Sus scrofa: one gene and its partners. The protein of the gene in region 4 purifies or fractionates together with the protein of the main gene of each other region. This does not show direct contact. Links are inferred from orthologs where the notes say so. Each region holds a gene or a part of one and is shown on either strand. Other genes may lie near its edges. The genes, in order: RAD52, CDC45, ATRIP, RPA2 and TOP3A.

Evidence for each region.
Region 1: the proteins of RPA2 (region 4) and RAD52 purify together in Homo sapiens (affinity purification with western blotting; 3 studies listed by BioGRID and IntAct, with this or other methods). This does not show direct contact. The link is inferred for Sus scrofa from reciprocal best matches to the Homo sapiens genes RPA2 and RAD52.
Region 2: the proteins of RPA2 (region 4) and CDC45 purify together in Homo sapiens (affinity purification with western blotting; 3 studies listed by BioGRID and IntAct, with this or other methods). This does not show direct contact. The link is inferred for Sus scrofa from reciprocal best matches to the Homo sapiens genes RPA2 and CDC45.
Region 3: the proteins of RPA2 (region 4) and ATRIP purify together in Homo sapiens (affinity purification with western blotting; 5 studies listed by BioGRID, with this or other methods). This does not show direct contact. The link is inferred for Sus scrofa from reciprocal best matches to the Homo sapiens genes RPA2 and ATRIP.
Region 5: the proteins of RPA2 (region 4) and TOP3A purify together in Homo sapiens (affinity purification with mass spectrometry; 4 studies listed by BioGRID and IntAct, with this or other methods). This does not show direct contact. The link is inferred for Sus scrofa from reciprocal best matches to the Homo sapiens genes RPA2 and TOP3A.

What each region holds. Positions count from the first base shown.
Region 1 is NC_010447.5:68,143,689-68,147,178, forward strand, and holds the end of RAD52 (DNA repair protein RAD52 homolog), read right to left. Parts: intron 2,551-3,490; coding exon 2,476-2,550; intron 1,977-2,475; coding exon 1,776-1,976; intron 894-1,775; coding exon 832-893; 3' UTR 508-831; downstream 1-507. UniProt on the Homo sapiens protein: Involved in double-stranded break repair. Plays a central role in genetic recombination and DNA repair by promoting the annealing of complementary single-stranded DNA and by stimulation of the RAD51 recombinase.
Region 2 is NC_010456.5:51,139,610-51,143,122, forward strand, and holds part of CDC45 (cell division control protein 45 homolog), read left to right. Parts: intron 1-1,522; coding exon 1,523-1,581; intron 1,582-2,785; coding exon 2,786-2,834; intron 2,835-3,513. UniProt on the Homo sapiens protein: Required for initiation of chromosomal DNA replication. Core component of CDC45-MCM-GINS (CMG) helicase, the molecular machine that unwinds template DNA during replication, and around which the replisome is built.
Region 3 is NC_010455.5:31,158,482-31,162,652, reverse strand, and holds the start of ATRIP (ATR-interacting protein), read right to left. Parts: upstream 2,805-4,171; 5' UTR 2,705-2,804; coding exon 2,458-2,704; intron 796-2,457; coding exon 665-795; intron 1-664. UniProt on the Homo sapiens protein: Required for checkpoint signaling after DNA damage. Required for ATR expression, possibly by stabilizing the protein.
Region 4 is NC_010448.4:85,043,092-85,047,403, forward strand, and holds the start of RPA2 (replication protein A 32 kDa subunit), read right to left. Parts: upstream 2,809-4,312; 5' UTR 2,702-2,808; coding exon 2,692-2,701; intron 2,448-2,691; coding exon 2,341-2,447; intron 494-2,340; coding exon 392-493; intron 263-391; coding exon 149-262; intron 1-148. UniProt on the Homo sapiens protein: As part of the heterotrimeric replication protein A complex (RPA/RP-A), binds and stabilizes single-stranded DNA intermediates that form during DNA replication or upon DNA stress.
Region 5 is NC_010454.4:60,457,673-60,461,185, reverse strand, and holds part of TOP3A (DNA topoisomerase 3-alpha), read right to left. Parts: intron 2,997-3,513; coding exon 2,914-2,996; intron 2,014-2,913; coding exon 1,806-2,013; intron 608-1,805; coding exon 422-607; intron 350-421; coding exon 220-349; intron 1-219. UniProt on the Homo sapiens protein: Releases the supercoiling and torsional tension of DNA introduced during the DNA replication and transcription by transiently cleaving and rejoining one strand of the DNA duplex.

The DNA of each region.
Region 1 (3,490 bases), on a different chromosome or scaffold from region 4:
TTTTCTCTGGTCTTATTGTTTCCTTGATCAGGAAAAAATGCAGATAGTGACATCATGAACCTATAATAATAAGACTCGGGAGTTCCTGTTGTGGCGCAGTGGTTAACGAATCCGACTAGGGAACCATGAGGTTGCGGGTTCGGTCCCTGCCCTTGCTTAGTGGGTTAAGGATCCAGCGTTGCCATGAGCTATGGCGTTAGGTGGCAGACGCAGCTCGGATCCCACATTGCTGTGGCTCTGACGTAGGCTGGCAGCTACAGCTCGGATTACACCCCTAGCCTGGGAACCTCCATATGCTGCGGGAGTGGCCCAAGAAATGGCAAAAAACCAAAAAAAAAAAAAAAGACTCATATGGGAAGACTAGCCTCACTTGTGGAGCCCTGCAGTGAAAGGTCAGAGGTCACTCACAGTAAATGCACTATGGGCCCCTGTCAAGTTTGGTGCTTGGGAATAAGGCTTACATTGTTTAAAGGAAGGTAGCCACTGGTGACGCCTAGAATGTCTTTTTTTTTTTTTTAAATGTAATAGCTTAGGAATAAACAGTGAAGAACCTTGAGTGTTTAATCTCCGCAGAGCTTCCCAACCTGGACTGTGTGACAAGCTCTCTTTAACTGCCTGTTTTCCAGTTGCCCAGCTTTATCTGTAGCAGCTTCCAACAGTCAAATCTGGTAAAGTTCTGGAAGAAGCAAGGTAAATCCCTGGAGGTAAAGCACATTCATGATTTCATTAGCTCTGATTTGACTTATGTACAAATGATAAATCATTTCATGATCAAAGCATAATTTCTGAAAGTCCCTTTGTGACAGAGTCCAGTGAGGTCACCTGCCTCGGTTAAGATGGATCTAATTTCCTTTTCTTCATGTCCTGGTTCTTCCTAGAGGAATCACAGTCTCCTATGGAAGAGAAAATTATTCAAATAATAGCTGCCATGATTTTAAAATAAACTGACAGTTAATAATTTGAGTCATATTAGTTAACAACCATACTTTTAAAGTCCCTGTATTAACATTAGACCAAGTTGCAATAAACTTTTTTTTTAGGGCCATCCCCGTGGCATATGGAGGTTCCTGGGCTAGGGGTCAAATCAGAGCCACAGCTGCCAGCCTACGCCACAGCCACCACCCTACGCCACAGCCACCACAATGCAGGATCCAAGCCTCGTCTGCTACCTACACCACAGCTCATGACAACACTGGATCCTTAACCCACTGAGCAAGGCCAGGGATCAAACCTACATCCTCATGGATGCCAGTCAGATTTGTTTCCACTGAGCCACAAAGTAACTCCAAACATTCTTGTGTGTGTTTCTTTTTTAGGGCCCCACCAGCAGCATACGGAGGGTCTCAGGCTAGAGGGTGAATGGGAACTGCAGATGCCAGCCTACTGCCCCTACTAGCAACACCAGATCCAAGCGCATCTGCCACCTACACCACATCTCATGGCAATGCCAGATCCTTAACCCACTGAGCAAGGCCAGGGATCAAACACTCATCCTCTTGGATACTAGTCTGAGTTTGTTAATTGCTGAACCATGACAGGAACTCTGCAATAAACTTTTAACAAGAAAGCTCTTCCTGCAGTCACGTTTACACATCCCACTAGTAAGAGACCGCAAGTCAAGGCCCCAAGGGAAACTTTGGGCTCTTAAGCCAATGACCCTCCATTTCTTACACTGCTGTTTCTCCGGCATCTTAGATGGAATGTCATTCTTCTTTAAAATTCAAAGAAAAAGCCAGGTTCTCCCTTCAGTTTTTGCTCCTAAAACAGTTTGCTACCTGCTATGTGCTGGTTAAGATGGTGAGTCTGGAAGTGCCAGGGTTCAGGTTTTGCTTGTGGATTCTGGTGGGTCCTGTTCTGAGTCTCCATCTGGTTCTTCGGGACTGAGGTGGCAGGGGTCTGCAGTGGTTCTGGTTTAGCCAAGGGCTGGACCACACTGTCTGCTACATCAAGAACCATGTCCCACATTTCAAGACTGTCTGCAAGGACAGAGGTCATAGGAAAATTTAGCATCAACAATGTGTTTTCACGGTGAAATGCTGGGAAAGTAGGTCATGTGAAATCCCATAACGTGAGTATCCTATAACGGCTTTTGAATTTCTCCCCAACCCCTAAAAGACCAAAGCCTCTCTTAGGTTAAGACAACAGGAGCTGAATATGTGCTATAGTCAGCACTGCTGTCAGTCCCTTTGGGTCCTCTTTCTACAAAACGGATAGAAATTAAGATATTTATGCCCTTCATTTTATTTTGGCCACACCCATGGCATATGGAAGTTCCTGGGCCAGGGATCAAACTTCGTCACAGCAGCAACCCAAGCCATAGCAGTGACAACACAGGACCTTAGCTTGCTGTGCCACAAGGGAAATTCCTAATGCCTCTTTTAAAATGTACTTGTGACTACCCAAGTACACAGCAATCTACAGACGCTTCATAGCATTTACTGACTAGTACCTAGCTGTTCCTTTCAACCTACTAACCTGCAAGGACGGCTGTCTTAGTGAGTGGCTCTGAAACAGCAATTCCGGGAGTGCTGTGCTTCGCCAGTGGTCCTGCTGCAGAGAAGGGACAGTCTCAGGACAGTAGAACTGGGCCAGGGGGCAGAGCTGCCTGGGATTACACAGCATAGCCAGCAGGACCCTGTGTCCCAGACCTATATAAAACAGGTCTGAAAACTCTATTTTTGTTCTCACCAACAAAAGTTTCCTTTTTAGCAGCAGAAATGGCTTATTATAAGACATCTCGTCAAGTTTTTACTTTTTGAAGCTATAACCCTTGTTCAAACAAAATCTTAAGTAGAAATTAGTGTATAAAACCAACATGATGATTGATCAGGGGTGCGGGAGTCCTGAAGGACACTCCTTTTCCACCCCTCACCCCCAGAGCTTCCAGAATGGTCCAGAAGCTAAAGATACAGAACATTAATTCTTAGGAAAAACATCCCCAGAAAAGTAAATTATTTGTTTTTTGTTTTTGTTTTTTTTCCTACATTAATTTCAGCCTGCTAGTGCTGAGGGGAATTATAAGGAACTAAAACATGACAGCAAGTCCTCTATGAATCTTCATGATTCTAAGGAAGAAGCTGGGCAAAAATCCAGCTTTTTTGTCTGGATTTTTGGTCTGAGATAAGCCCTCTGATTTTAGTCTCTGGGAAAGACTCAAAAAAATCTGTTATCTACTATTCCCACTGAATGTGGACTCAAATGAACAAAAGCTTATAGAATTGCCAGGAGTTCCCGTTGTGGCGCAGTGGAAAAGAATCCAACTAAGAAACATGAGGACACGGGTTCAATCCCTGGCCTCGTTCAGTGGGTTGAGGATCTGGCATTGCCGTGAGCTGTGGTGTAGGTCACAGATGTGGCTCAGATCCTGCCTGTGTTTCTGTGGCTGTAGTGTAGGCCGGCAGCTGTAGCTCCAATTTGACCCCTAGCCTGGGAACCTCCATATGCCTCAGGTGCGGCACTCAAAAGCAAAAAAAAAAAGATTTGCCAGAAG
Region 2 (3,513 bases), on a different chromosome or scaffold from region 4:
ACCACAACTCACAGCAACACTGGATCCTTAACCCACTGAGCAGGTCCAGGGATCGAGCCCAAATCCTTATGGATACTAGTCATGTTCGCTAACCACTGAGCTATGACGGGAACTCCAAGTTGCTTCCCTTTTGTTTCTGAGTTTGTTCCATGGTGTGGACCCACCTCGGTTTGTTTAGCCATATACTCCCTGACGGGCATCTGGGCTATCTCATTTCCGGCTATTGTGAAGAGAGCTGCTATAAACATTTGTGTGCAGGTTTGTGTGAACATGAATCTTCATTTCCCTGGAATGGATGACTAAGAGTGCATTTGTTGGCTTCTGTGGTAGTTAATATGTTCAGTTTTTTAAGAAGCTGCCAAACTTTCCCAGAGTGTCTGTACCATGTTACCTTCTGACCAGCAATCTGTGATGACCCAGTTTCTCCCTGAGGAGTGTGGCTCCTTCTTAGCACTGGGCACCATACCTGCCCTCTGACCCCACCCTGGTGGGAGGTAGGGAGGGGCACTGGGCCTTTGCTGTGGTGGATGGGGTGGGACCATGGTGTTTCTGGTGGTGGTGCAGTTAGAGTTGAGCAGTTATCCTCTAAAAGTTTTCTCTTTCAAGGCCGGTCCTTCCTGGTTCTTTGGCTTTTGTTGGGGATTTTTTCTTCTATCGGTGTTTCTGTGTGGCCAGCTTCTCTGGAATATATGAACAAAAAGGAAAACTCTGGGAACTCCCTACTGTGACATTCCCAGGTCCTGGGACCCTTGGCTGGTCAGCCTTCCTCTCCACCTTTCAGACTCTTTTCTTTTTTTAAATATGCACTACCAGGATTTCTAGGTACATTTAGTGTATGAATAGAGACAAATACATCTACCTATCCTTCTACAAGCAGAAGTCTAGAGACTACAGATTTTAAAACTGCGCCCTCACCTGTGCCTTTATTGTGGGAAGAGAAAGAGGTTGTGCCTGTAAAATTAGAATAGTTGCTGGAAACAGTGGGGTTAGGATGTGAGGAATAGGAGCGCTCTCTTTTTTTTTTTTTTTTTGCTTTTTAGGGCTGCACCTGCAGTATATGGAGGTTCCCAGGCTAGGGGTCGAATTGGAGCTGTAGCTGCCAGCCACAGCCACAGCAATGCAGCTCCGCTGCATCTGTGACCTACACTGCAGCTCATGGCAACACCAGATCCTTAACCCACTGAGCAAGGCCAGGGATCAAACCCACATCCTCATGGATCCTGGTCAGGTTCATTACCGCTGAGCCATGACAGGAACTCCCCGTGAGTTCTTTCTAACATGGTGGGAAAGCGGGGACGTGGCAGCTGTGGGCTTTTTGTGGCTCACATGGTACTGGGACAGTGGATCTGGGGTGTCACCTAAGCAGATGCTGGGGAAGCGTCCAATCCCATCCACAGTGGCCACGGGGCTGAGGGGCCCTGCCGTCCCACCAGGGGCAGGCTGTACCCTCAGTGGCTTCTGACAAATTGGATCCTTCTCAGCCAAACTCCTTGGCTCACCTTTTGTTCTCTTTGTCCTATATCAGGAAATCGTGGAGCGAACCATGAAGAGGAGGCAACGAAGAGAGTGGGAGGCCCGCAGGTGAGGGTCCTTCCATCAGCAGCCCTGCCTGCGGGACAGCTGGGGGTGGGGGGTGGGGTGAGTATCACTGATATGCCTGGCTTTTCCTTGGGGGCTTTGTGCATTTTTTTTTTCCATTTTAGGATAATGTGTTGAGTTTAGAGCCTTTGGGCCAGTGTCTCTAGGACTGAGCATGTGGCCCCTGCATTGGGGAAAAGCTCAGGGACCCTCCATGTCACCTTCATGTCCCATGAGTGATGGGCTGGGCTCAAGAGCTCCCAACACCTGCCATCTGTTAGGGATGACAGCCCTGGTCCCTCGTTTTAATAGTTTTCTAAATCTAGATACTTTTCTTTACAAATTCAATAGATGGAATTGTATGAAACTCCTCATAGAAAAAAAATTGAAAAGAAAACTAAGCTATCCATAGTTCCTCTTCATATTGCAAGTTAAAAAACTCAAGTGCTTTAAATGAAAATGTTGGAGAGGATACTCTAGCTCAAGGTGAACATGCAGCAGTGCGCTTGCTGGGAATTCCCTGCTAATTGCATCCCTATAAGGCCTCGTGGGTGTCTGAGTGTCCAGCCCCTGCCCTGCTGCTCCATCTAAGGGCGTGCCCCTGTCAGCCCCACTTGGGGAGGCTGGTTGTAAAATCATTTGGGGAAGTGCAGGAAAGAAAAGTGAATATAATCCATTTTCACTAATAGGAAGAGGTTCCAGCTTTGGATTGATCTGCCCGGGGTTGTCTGTGCTTGTGCACGTTTTACATCATCACACCTAATTTTGCACTTTTCCACGTAATAGAACCATAGTTCGGAAATCTCCACAGGCCTTTGTAAAGTGCACGGTGCCGAACTGGCCTTCCCCTTCTTTGTGAGCTGGAGGTTGCTTTCAGTGTTCTGCGGTGACTGTCAGGCTGAAGCAAACAACCTTGCACACCGCGAGGCCTGTCTGGCTTGTCCCTTTGAACTGCTGTCTTGCCTTAACTTCTTGTGGGGAGTGGAATCTGGGACTGTGCCATTTTACATCTTTGGTAGCCACACAAGGTTTGTGCCCCGGTCACTCCCTTCCCAATGCTGTACACTTTCAGTCCTTGGAAGAGTCAATAAGTGAAAACAAATGATTTCGTTTGGGTTTCTTTGAGTATCGTCCATTCTAGCATTTTTCCCACTGTTTGTTTTCCTATTCTGCTTCCTGTTGAAGACCTACTTTTGTGTCTTTACAGAAGAGACATCCTTTTTGACTACGAACAGTACGAATACCACGGGACGTCAGTAAGTCCAGATCCCGGGATTCACTGCCATGTCCGGACTCTAGGGGGCACTGTCCTAAAAGAGGAGGAGGAATCAGCAGAGGTTTTAGAGCCCCCGAGGACTGGTTTAAATCCAAGCCTGCAGCTTCCACCCTGTGGCCTGAGGGGAGGATCTGCTCTTAGCCTCTCCTCCTGGGAAAAAGGGAGATAGCAGGCCTCACTTCAAAGGCAGTTGTTGGGATGGCCTCTCACACTCAGAGGTGCTCAGGGAACAGCAGCCACTCTTTCTGTTCATCATCAAAAAACAGAACGAGCCTGCGCTGATTTCTGTGCAAGAAGATGAAACTTGATTTGTGTGTTAGGATTTTCATCAGAAAACCCAGTGGGTTGATTCTTGTGCTGCTGAGCAGAGCTCAGGGCCTTAAGGGGACCTAGAAAGTGGTTCTAGTAAAAATCCTGTATTTAGTCTCAGAATTTGACCTGGGGCCTTGGCCTCTGAGCAGGTACTTCAGAACCCCTTTTGAGATTGGTTTGCCCTTGGCGGGAGGATTCTGAGCTGTAGGTGGGTTCACGGGTGGAAACAGATGCATGGCTGGGAAGCTCTCTTGGAAACCAGTTTCCTTGGAGATGCTGAAGTCAGGCCAGTGTCTCACTGCAGACAGGGCTTTAGGGTCTCCTGGTCGGACGCTGATCTCCTGGTC
Region 3 (4,171 bases), on a different chromosome or scaffold from region 4:
GAGGCACAGCAACACCGGATCTTTAACCCACTGACTGAGGCCAGGGATCCTCAGGACATTTTTCTGGGTTCTTAACCTGTTGAACCACAACGGAAACTCCCTCCCTGTTATGTTCTTAGTTTTTCTAGGGAACTGTAAAGGGTCATATGGAGGACTTCTGCTTTTTTACAAAACTGCTAATGAAAATAGTAACCATTAGGATGTGTTTTTTAACTAAGACATGCTATAAATTTATCTCAATGCTATAACAAGTTTGTATCTCTTTTTGATATGGTATACAGTGTTACAGTGTTTCCTTTCTTGCTTTGGCTGTTAGGAATTTCAGGATTTAGTTCCACCAAAATTTTCTGGCTTTCTTTCCATAGCTTTCTCCCAATTCATGGGGATCAATCTGGACTCTTTTTTTGCTTTTTGTCACATCCGGGGCATATGGACGCTCCCAGGCCAGGAATCGAATCTGAGCCACAGCTGTGGCCTGTGGTGCCACTGTGGCCACACTGGATGGAACCCATGCCACTGCAAAGACAATACCAGATACTTAACTGCCATGCCATGGTAGGAATGTCTGGGCTCTTAAACTTATATATATATATATATATATATTTTAATAACATATGCATACGTGAATTAATTAACTATAAAAAACACAAGTTAAATCACTTACCTTTTCTTTAAGTTCTTTGTATTGTAACTGAAGTACCTCTAATTCAAAATTATCTTTAACTGGAGCACTTTCTCTCTTTTTCCCTGTAGGATTTTTTGGCATTCCATCTAATCTGGGGACCTTTTGAACATCTGTAAAAAACAGTTCCCATGTACTTTTCAGGACCTAATATTTTTCCATTTTTACCAGACAATGCTGAAAATAATCACTTTGGAAAGCAAATTAGAGAAAGATATAGTAAGCAATATAGGTATTGTCCAACATAAGAACATAATTGAATCCTTATGAAAGAACAGATCCTGCCAACCTCTCCCCATTCCCCATCCAATTTTTTTTTTTCCACTTATGGCCACACTGGTGGCACATGGAAGTTCCCAGTCCAGGGACTGACTGCCTATGGCACAGCTGTGGCAATTCCAAATCCTTAACCCACTGTGCCTGGCCAGGGATGCAACCTAAGCCACTGCAGTCGGATTCTTAACACACTGCGCCACAGCAGGAATTCCTTCCCACCCCTTTTTAAGAGTCTTACCTAAAGTTGAAAGGTGCTCTGGTCTCACTGATCAGAACTCAGAGGTCTATTATCAACAATATTTACTGAGGACCTACAATATGCCAGGCACAATTTAGCCTCAAAAGAAAGGTACAGTGGTGAGCAAAATGGATACAGTCCTTACACTCATGCAGCTTACATGGCAGTAAAAAATACACGAATAAATGTAAAATCACAATTGTTATAAGAGCTGCAGAAAAGAACAAATATAGGAAAGCCCATACTAGGAGATTTGATCCAAGTGAATGATTGGAGTGCTTCTGTAGGGAAGTGATAACTGAACTGAGAGCTGAAGAACAAGCAGGAATTAAGCAGGTGAGTGGGGATGGGGAATGGATGGAAAGAATACTCAATGCATAAGAAACAGCAATGTGCAGTTTCTATATGGTAAGGAGCAGGGAGAATTCAAGGAATGAAGCGAAGTCAGTGAAGTCCCACAAGCCTTCACTTATTTCCCACCTAGAATGTAAGCTCCATGAAGGAAGGGGCTTCTGTCTTTTGTTCACTGTTAAGTGTCTGCAGCTCTTAAAGTTTGGCACCTCATACAATTTATTGGTTGTATAAAAGAATGTCTCTTCTACCTCTTGCTACTTCCAAGCCCATCTTATCCTTATGGGAAAAGGGAAAAGGACCCATGTTAGAAGGGGTGGGAACTAACAGCTCAGGCTCATTCATTCATTCATTTCTCAGAGAGCTCTTAGGTGTTTTTGTCCCAAGTGCTTCGTCACATAGAAATGCGTGAGGGAATTCCAGTTGTGGCTCAGCCGTAACGAACCCAACTAGTATCCATGAGGATGAGAGTTCAATCCCTGGCCTCACTCAGTGGCTTAAGGATCCAGCATTGCTTTGGCCGTGACATTAGTTCTAAAGCCACTCAAACCTGTCCTAAGAATGGGTCCTCATGTGTAGGTAGTAATGGTGGGGGTTCTGATGGCAGTGGTAATCATGTTCCAAGGATCCTAGTGGTCCAAACTATAGGAACTAAAGTAAAATGTCAACCTAGCTTTCTATATTTTAAATAGGCTGTCTGACATTCCTGATATATTTCTCCCCCAAATCAAAGGACCTTTTCGGGCACAACCGCTGCTTAAATCAAGCTGTTCCTGTATTTTTAAAAGGTGAAGGAGTAATGTGGGTGCAAGACACCGTGGCAGCGGTCGCTGAGGGATTCCCCAGTCTTCTAGGGGGTCTGGCAAGGGCTGCATTATCCTCGGGGGAAAAGGCCCCGAGGCGCACTCACTGGACATGTCCCGACCCGTGGTCGGGCACTGGCTCAGGGCCTGTGACGCGAGGGTGTCCAGCTCCTCCAGGTCGTCGGCGGTGAAATCCCCATGGGCGCCGAAAGGGTCTTCGGGGTCAGGAGCGGCGGCCGCTGGGAAGCCCCGGGCCCGCTTGCTCGGAGGGTGCCCGGGGCTGGGCGGCGGGCCAGGATTGGGTGCCGGGGGTCCGCTTCGCCTCCTGCTGCCTGGCGTGGGTATTCCAGCCATGCCTGCCGCCGGCCAGTCTCCGAAGGAACGGAGTCCGGCCTCTATCCAGGAGCGGGGACCAACCGCTCGCGCGCCGCCACTTGCCTCAGCCGCTGTGCCACGCCCCGGAGCCAAGGGGCCAATCAGCTGCCAGTTCTTAGGCGCGGAGGGATGACATAATCTGAGCGCGCTACTGCGCTCAACTGAGTGTCTGCCTATTTGTTCTCCGCCTCTGGGCCCCACCCTGTTTGCTGCTCAGGTACTGGCGGTTAGGACTCAGTGGGCCTGGCGGGTGCTTTGTGCAATGTGAGCCAAGTTAACCTGGGGTGACTCACCAGCCCCACCGCCGGGGTGGCTCTGTGCCAGCTTCTTGACATCCCATAGGGTTTGCTGTGCTGGAGGAGTTCGCCCTCCTGATATTCACAAATTCATGCCCGGACATTCACACGCGTGAATCGAGGCAGGCAGCATTCACATTCAGGGTCCTTGTGACCTGACTGTCCTCCAGCCTGAACCACTTCACATATACCTCGAGGCTTTCTTGGGGAGGAGTCTTGGAGAGGGGGGCTGGGCTAGGAGTATGAACAGCGCTGTTGTGAGCACACATCTTTTTGAGAACAGTAAATGTTTTGAATGTGTGCATTTGAGGTAGGTCAATAGAAAAAAAGGAGTAAAGGAATGATCCTGAGAAGAGTGTGTCTGTGTTGGAGGGGGTGGGAACTAACAGCTCAGGCTGTTAATATTCATTCATTCATTTCTCAGAGAGCTCTTAGGTGTTTTTGTCCCAAGTGCTTGGTCATATAGAAATGCATGAGGGAATTCCCATTGTGGCTCAGCGGTAATGAACCCGACTAGTATCCATGAGGATGAGGGTTCAATCCCTGGCCTCACTCAGTGGCTTAAGGATCCAGCATTGCTTTGGCTGTGGCATAAGCTGGCAGCTACAGCTCGGATTCACCCCTACCCTAGGAATTTCCATATGCCGGGGGTGCAGCCCTAAGAAGACAAAAAAGAAATGCATGAGACTCAGTTCAAGGCAGGCCCCCTTAAGTGTTACCTGGGCTGTCCTACAGGTTCAGTGGGAGTTTTATCAAGAGTTAGCAAGGAGGATGGCACACAAGACTACTCAAACAAGGACTTCCTGTCATGGCTCAGCAGAAATGAACCTGACTAGTATCTATGAGGACGCAGGTTTGACCTCTGGCCCCACTCAGTGGGTTAAGGATCTGGTGTTGCTGTGGACTGTGGTGTAGGTCGCAGACACGGCTTAGATCATGAGTTGCTGTGGCTGTGGTGTAGGCCAGTGGCTACAGATTCAATTTGATGCCTAGCCTGGGAACCTCCATATGCCACGAGTGCTACCCTTAAAAAAAAAAAAAAAAAAAAGACTACTCCTCAGACAAGAATATGACACTAAAATGGAGGTCACACAAGTGCTAGGCAGAAGTTATCTCTGGCTAAGAGGGAAGGTGTTAGAGGGGACTTCTG
Region 4 (4,312 bases):
TACCTCTGGTTGGACCCCTAGCCTGGGAACCTCCATATGCTGTGGGTATGGCCCTGAAAAGCAAAAAAAAAAAAAAGTGATACTAAAAAAGTTCAACATCTCCAAAGTCCCAAAGTAACCCCACCCTGATTCAAACACAACTGCTTACATCTGTGTCAACCCACTGGCGGACATCCATGGGTGCAGCTGTCATGTCATCTATTTTGTAAACAATGTTGGTTGCAGCCTTCTCTGCATGTCTGATTATCCCCACAATAGTCACCTAGACAAGAAGAAAAATAAGTTTGGTTTTCTTAGAAACCAAAGCAACATGAATCTATTTTTAAATGAAGTAAGTTTTATTTCATTCTTCATATGATTGAGTGACTCTTCCACAAATTATTTTACATACCTGTGAAATCTCAACATTCCCAATTTTGAACACTTCATCAACCAGAGTAGCAGAAAGCAGCTGAGATATGGTACAGGGTACAATGTGCTGAGCTCGGGCTCTCTGAAAAAAGTATGCATAAATTCAATTAAGAAAATAATAACTACTGTCCCTTAACACCTCCTATATGCCCAGCACTTTACGGATATTGTAACACTAATCTTCAAAAGAAACCTCATTGTCCCTACTTCACAGAGAAGAAAACCAAGGTTATATAGTTAACCAACGCCATATTCTAAATTTCAAAACCACGTCTGTCTGACTCCAAAGCTCCTGATGACTGGATAAGTTTGTGCTATACTAGGGATCACCAAAATGAGTCAGCCAGAGTGTGGACAGCAAAGGAACATGACCTGCTTCTGGAAGAGACTTTGAAAAGGCAACTCCAGCTTTAGGATGAAGGCAAGCTTGAGCTGGCTTTTCATCACTGATGAGAAGAGATAGTATTTGGAAGGAATTTGGGAAATGGCCAGCAAAGACAGAACTCTGAAGCTCTTCTAAGTTAAAGTATAACAAAAAGTTGGAGGTATATAGCTTTAGGTAGATGTTCTGACAATCCCATGTGAGTATGAGGAAAATGGGATAAGGGCCTGGCCACACGGGACATCTTAAAGGAAAGGGACAGGATGTGACGGGCAGAAGAGGACACCTAAATCACACCCAGAAGCAGCCTAACCATGTATACTCTTATGTTTGTCTCCCACTGGCCAGGGTTTGTTTGGGGGAAATAAAGATGAGTAAAATGGAACAGGATTTGCCCTCAACACATGCTACAAATGTAAATAACAAGCCTGATCTTGAAACACTATAGAATGTGGGATCTTGGAAAAATTTATTGGCAATTTCAAGAAGAGGGAGCATTTAGGCTGGACCCTGAAGCACGAAAATTTTGACAGTGAAAAAATAGTGAGTGAAGAATGTGCATTACAGGAGTTCCCGTTATGGCTCAGTGGTTAATGAATCTGACTAGCATCCATGAGGACGCAGGTTCAATCTCTGGCCTTGCTCAGTGGGCTAACTGCTGAAGCATACTTTTGAACGGTGAATATTGCCAGGATGGTAGAAAGTAAGCCCAGTCAACTACCAGCACACATGTCACAAAAGGTGGCAGCCAGCTGGTGGGCTGAGATTATGGCTCGACCACTCAGGAGCAGTGTGCTCTTGATCACATTTCTTTTTTTCCTTTCTGTTTTTTTTTTTGCTCTGCTTTTTAGGGCCGTACCCACGGCATATGGAGGTTCCCAGGCTAGGGGTCAAGTCGGAGCTATAGCCGATGGCCTACACCACAGCTCACAGCAACATCAGATCCTTAACCCACTGAGCGAGGCCAGGGATCGAACCTGCATCCTCATGGATCCTAGTCGGATTCATTTCTGCAGCGCCAGAATGGGAACTACCCCTGGGGCCATTTATTGAAAGCAACTCTGGGGCAGGCATAACTATATGTAATGTTATTAATCTCACAACAACCTTGTAAGATATGTATCATTAATCCCATTTAGTGGGTGCAAAACTGATTCCCAGTTTTGTAATTGTCCAATGATACCCTGCAAGCAGTGTCAGAGCAATAGTGGAACATAGATCTACTAGACTCCAAAGACCAGGCTCTTTCCACCTTATCAGATGACCTCATTACATTTCATTTAAAAATGACTTCCAGTATGTGAAGAATGTAAAATAGGCTACACATACAAGTTCGGTTTTTCCCACAAGACTAATTCATTAGTTATATTGGTAACTTTCAAAATAAAGCCAAGGAAACAATGTATGCAAAATTAGGAGACGTTTGATTTTTCAAACTTACAAGCACGTCCAGTTTACCACCCTTCCTTCCCCGCCTAAATTTTCTCACAGATGCGTTAGGAGCTTCAGCAGAGGTTAAAATAAAAAGAAATGCGCTTGCAACCTACAGATTTCTTTTCAGCCTGGGAAGGTGTCGGTGATCCAAAGCCCCCAGGGGACTGTGTGTAGCCGCCGGCTCCCCCAAAGGAGGAGCTGCTATAGCTTTCAAATCCACCTGGTTTTAAACAACAGCAGTATTAATACTTGTGCCACCCTCCAAGCCTCTGAAAAATCCGCAAGTCCCCCCAGACTTCACCCCAACCACTCCCAGAGTCTCCCTAACCTTCCCACCATCTTCCCTACGACCCGCACGCCCCCATCACCGGCCCTCGCCCGCCCCCTGCCGCCACACGCCTCCCCGGGCCCTCCCTTGCTAAATCCTTCTTGCGATTCTCATCAGGCGCCCCACTCATCATTACTATTCCACATCTTGGTCACTATTCCCTCAGTGTAGAGCTCCAGAAGGCTCCGGTCCGGTGGGTTAGCCGAACCCCCTCAGGACTCCGCTGTTGCAGCTGCGCTGTATCTACTTTTCGCTGGAGCCACAAACTCCTTCCCGCGAAGGACGGAGCCAATCAGAGTCCAGAGCGTTTCTCCCCTCAGCCAATCAATGCTTAAGAATCCCACGCCTTTTCCCGCCTTCCCGCGCCGAGCTCCGGAGAATGCGCACTTCGCTCCGGGAAGATCCGAAGCCTCTGCAGCCATCGTTACTTAGGGCAAAATAGGCTGCGGCTGCGGAAGGGAGACCTGAGAGATGCAAAGATAGGCCAGTGTCTCAAGAAAATAACCAATCAAGGAGTTCACTTGTGGCCCAGCAGGTTAAGGATCCGGAGATGGCTTGAGTCGGATCCCTCACCCGAGATGCTGTGGGCGGTTGCCCAAAAAGTAAAAGATGAGAACCAATCTGGATGATACTTCCACATCTCAGGCCGTTTAATCCCACCCCCGGCAACTGACTGACACTTTACATCACTTCCTTTGTTCCGTGTCTTGTTTCGTCCAAAACCTTACCAATCGAGTGATGCCTCCTAAAGCGTTATAGTAGTAGGACTTGCCATTAGCACAATATATACACATACGGGGAGCTCAATGTAGTAATTTCATTGCACCTCGTGGGGTTGCGTATTCTTTTCCATAAAGAGCCAGGTTCAGTTCTGGTATTGCCATCCCGTCGTCCTGATTCTCCGCAGAGAAGCTGTGAGAAGCCTACAGTCTTTTTCCCAGAATGGCAAAAGATCTGAGGATGACATCCCCCCAACCTTTCTGTCCCCACCCCAGTCTAGTCCGGATCCGTATCCTCGGTTGCTTCAACTATTCTTCATGTAATACGGTTGTGTCCCTCTTACGTTTTTCTTTTCTTTTTTGTGGTCTTTTGTCCTTTTAGGGCCGCACCCGCGGCATGTGGAGGTTCCCAGGCTAGGGGGTCTAATCAGAGCGTCTGCAGCCTACACCACAGCTCACAGCAACGCCTGATCCTTAACCCACTGAGCAAGGCCAGGGATCGAACCCACAACCTCATGGCTCCTAGTCGGATTTATTTCTGCTGCTCCAGGACGGGAACTCCGTGTCCCTCCTATGGAGAGTGGAACATGTCTGTCAGTTCTTTGCTCTAAATACTACTACACTGTTAGGAACAGATCCTCATTTATAATTTAAAAATATTTATTGATATCTCTTGTTCCAAGCTTTGTGCTGGCCACTGGGATTCAGTGGCAAATAACGAAGACATGGTCCCTGGGTTTCTGGGCCATTGCATTTCCTTTTGCTAAAACTGCAGACACTTTCTTCTCTCTCTCTCTGTCTTTTTTTTTTTTTTTTTTGTCTTTTGTCTTTTTAGGGCCGCACCTGTGGCATATGGATGTTCCCAGGCTAAAGGTCCAATCGGAGCTGTGGCTGCTGGCCTACACACCACAGCCACGGCAATGCCAGATCGAGCCATGTCCATGACCTACACCACAGCTCATGGCAACGCCAGATCCTTAACGCACTGAGTGAGGCCAGGGATCGAACCGAAACCTCATAGTTCCTAGTTGGATTCCC
Region 5 (3,513 bases), on a different chromosome or scaffold from region 4:
ACGAGCCCACGCGGGGACGCCGCAGGGCAGTGGCTCGGGGCAGGAAGGACCGGGCGACCTGGACCGTGCTTTTCCTCTCACAGGCTCTGCACCCTGCCCGAGCTCCCAACTGCTCCAAGCCTCCCTGCAGCTCCGGGGCGGGGGTTGAACCCAGCGCCCGCGTCACGGCTGCGGGGAAGGCGCCAGAGCCGCCAGGCCCCATGCTGACAAGCCACTGACCGATGCCGTGCTTCTCCATGAGGGCGATGAGGTCGGCCTCGGTGAGCAGCTGCGGCGGGCTGGTCTCCCCGTCCACCATCTCCACGGTGCTGGGCTGAAAGCGGGAGCCTCGCTCGTAGCCGGGGAGGACCTGCGGGGGCAGCCGACGTCGGTCAGACCCCGCACGGCACCCTCCCCGGCCCAGGGCCCTGCGACGCCGCACCTTGTCGCTCCAGTGGTCGTAGGGGTACACGTCCAGGTAGTTCCGGGCCAGAATCACCAGGCCGTGGGCCACGAAGCGCTCCTGCGCGATGTCTATCTCCACGGTGGTCTCCTGGCCCTGCGCGTCCCGGGAGCAGCAGGCCAGGAAGTGGCGCACGATGAGCTCGTAGAGCCGCTGCTCGTCCCCCTGCGAGAAGAGGCGCCTGAGCCCCTGGACACCCCGCCAGGGCCTCGGCGCCGCCGGCAGCTCGACCTGGCTGTCGTCGGGGACCCTCTGCCGCTCACGGTGCGGGCTGACGGCCTTCCCAGCTGCGACCAGGCAAAGACAGGCAGGGCCACCTGCCCTCACGCCTGTGAAGGGAGTCCTGACGTGACGCCGTCTAAGCAGAAGACGGGCTGAGAGCTCAGAGGTCACCGAGACACCCCTTACGCTAGAGACGTAGGGCGAGGACGCGGGCGGCAGCCTCAGACCAAGCCCGCGGCACGGGGCTCACAGTGACTTTCCACGGATGTGGTGACCGAGGAGCTCCGGCGGCTCTGTCTGTCAAAACCGCTGAGGGGTGGAGGCTCACGTCCAGCGACTCTCTTTCTAAGAGTGTTTTGTTTCTTTCTTTTTACGGCCGCACCCACGGCATATGGAGGTTCCCAGGCTAGGAGACCAATCGGAGCTGTAGCCGCCGGCCTAAGCCAGAGCCACAGCAACGCGGGATCCAAGCTGGGTCTGTGACCTACACCACAGCTCATGGCAACGCCAGATCCTTAACCCACGAAGCGAGGCCAGGGATCGAACCCGCAACCTCATGGATGCCAGTCAGGTTTGTTAACCGCTGAGACACGACGGGAACTCGCTGAGAGCGTCTTCAGAGGAAACGGAGCCACACGAACAGTATCACGTATTCAATGTGAGACCCCTTAGTACGTTACGTATCAATGAGCTGGAAACAACTTAATCTTTCAAAACCAGATTTGGCAAAGTAAGTTACAGTCCATCTATGCGATCATTCAATACCAGGCTTTAAAACATTTTGGCACGTGGGGAAGTGCTCACACGGAAAGACGGGTCAGAAACCCACTTAACGTTAAGGTTTAACTGAAAGCTGAGGGTCTCGGCAGGAGATGCCGGACTGCAGACAACTGTTTCCTTCCCGACACCCTCCTCCTGTACTTTGGGAGGCGTGTGGAGGGCCGGGGCTCGGGCGGGGGGGAGCCCACCGTGCAGTCTCCAGGGAGGCCAGGCTGAGCTCCTGGGGGAGCACGTCCTGACCCAGACGTCTCTTTTCCCAAGGGGAGGACACATCTCAAAATGTGTCCTCGGAGGGTCCAAACCCACTTCAGACCCGGCACCTCCGCGCGGGGCCGGCGGGCAGCACGGCCGGGAAACCAACCTGCAGGCTGTCGGTGTACTTGGTGGGGTGGATCGGGGGGTGGGCCTGGTCGGACTGGTTCCCGTTGCGTGGGGTGGGGCCGCCCTGCTCCAGGATGCTGCGGGCAAAGGCCCCCCAGCGCGGGTCTGAGGTCTGCTGCTCCACCAGGGCCGCCAGGTCCAAGCCTTTGGGGAAGATGTTTGTTTCCGTCCTCGGGTAGCTGATGTACCTAGGGTGAGCCAAACGCATAGAACAGAAAATGGCGAAACTGGTCCAGAACGGCTCAACTGGCCGGAGAGCACGGTGCCGCCCACAGCAGCCCGAGTGACCCACCGGGACCCACACGGCGAGCGCCCTGCGCTGTGGCTCCCCCGTGGGCGGGGGGCAGCAGGGACACGCCCTGGGGTCGGGGATGAGCGCAGGCAGCACGGGGCAGGGCACGCCTGCTACAGCCCCGGCCCCGCGTCGGTGGGCACGGGCACCAGGGTGAGTCCCGCCCTTTCCTTAGAGCAGAGGAAGCGCGACGCCGCCAGGCTGCGCCGTGGACCCCACGCGCGGCGGGCGTTCAGCGGAGCACTGGGACGCCGGCGTCCTCCCTCTCCCACAGGCCTTCGACACTGTTGGACGGTCACAGGCGCCGCACCTCTCGACCCTGACAACCCAGATCTCACGCGCTCGACAGCCAGCTCTGGCGCGTGGCGGCTGCTCCAGCCAGTGAGGGCCACGCGGTCCCTGGACGACTCGGGCGCCCGTGACCCGAGGCGGGAGGGTCTGCCGGCAGCGACAGCCCCTGAGGGTGGCAGGACCCCAGGCCCTGCCCGCTGAGGGTCCAGAGGGGCTCTGCAGGCTCCCCTCTTAGCAGGTTAAGGGACTGCGACACGGCTTGTCCGCGTCCCAGAAGAGGAGTCGAGGCCAACACGCGACTTGAGACCTGCTCTGCTGAGGGCCTCGGCGGCTGCGCAGGCGTGGGCTCTCCCAGGACACGGCAGCCGCTGCCGGGGCGCCCGCAGGACGGTTTATCCCCAGTCTTCCACCGCGGGGCTCTGTGTCTCCCCGGCTCTCCTTCTACACCATCTCGCCTCAAGGAAGTCGCGGCAAGGCCTGTCCCCAAACGGGGACGGACACGCACCCTTGAGTGTAGAGCTTCTCCGCGATCCTCATGGTTTCCTTGGCGTTTATTCTCAACTTGCGCGAAGCCAGCTTCTCCAGCTCCTGTTGACACGTGGGCAGGCGGGTGAGGGCACAGCCAGAGGCACGACGGCCACACGCCTCATCTTCAGAACGCCGGCCCCATCCCTCCAGCCACTGTCACACATCCTTGCGACAGGCTGAGCTGAAGAAGGGTTTCTGGGCCTGCAGGCAGGGCCAGCCCCCAGCCCGGGGTCTTCAGACTCCGCTGAGCAGGACAAGAATCAGCCGGGGAGCGGCCAGATTCCTGGGCCCTGGGCACGAGGGCCCCCGGCAGAGGCGGCCGGGACCGAGGCTGCGGGCGTGCATCCGTAACCCGGCCGCCTGGGAACTTGCTCGGGGACCACCACGCGAACCCTGGGACACGCTGCACGTTTGGCACTTCATCCTCTGGAACTGGGCCCCAAAGTACCCACCCCCGAATTTCCCTGCCAGGTGGAGACGGGGAAGGGCACCCCCAACGTGGCTTACTCAGACTTGTGTCCCAGGGGTGGCTCCTCTCGGGGTCAAAAAATTTGAGCAGCCCTGTTCTAGGGGAGGC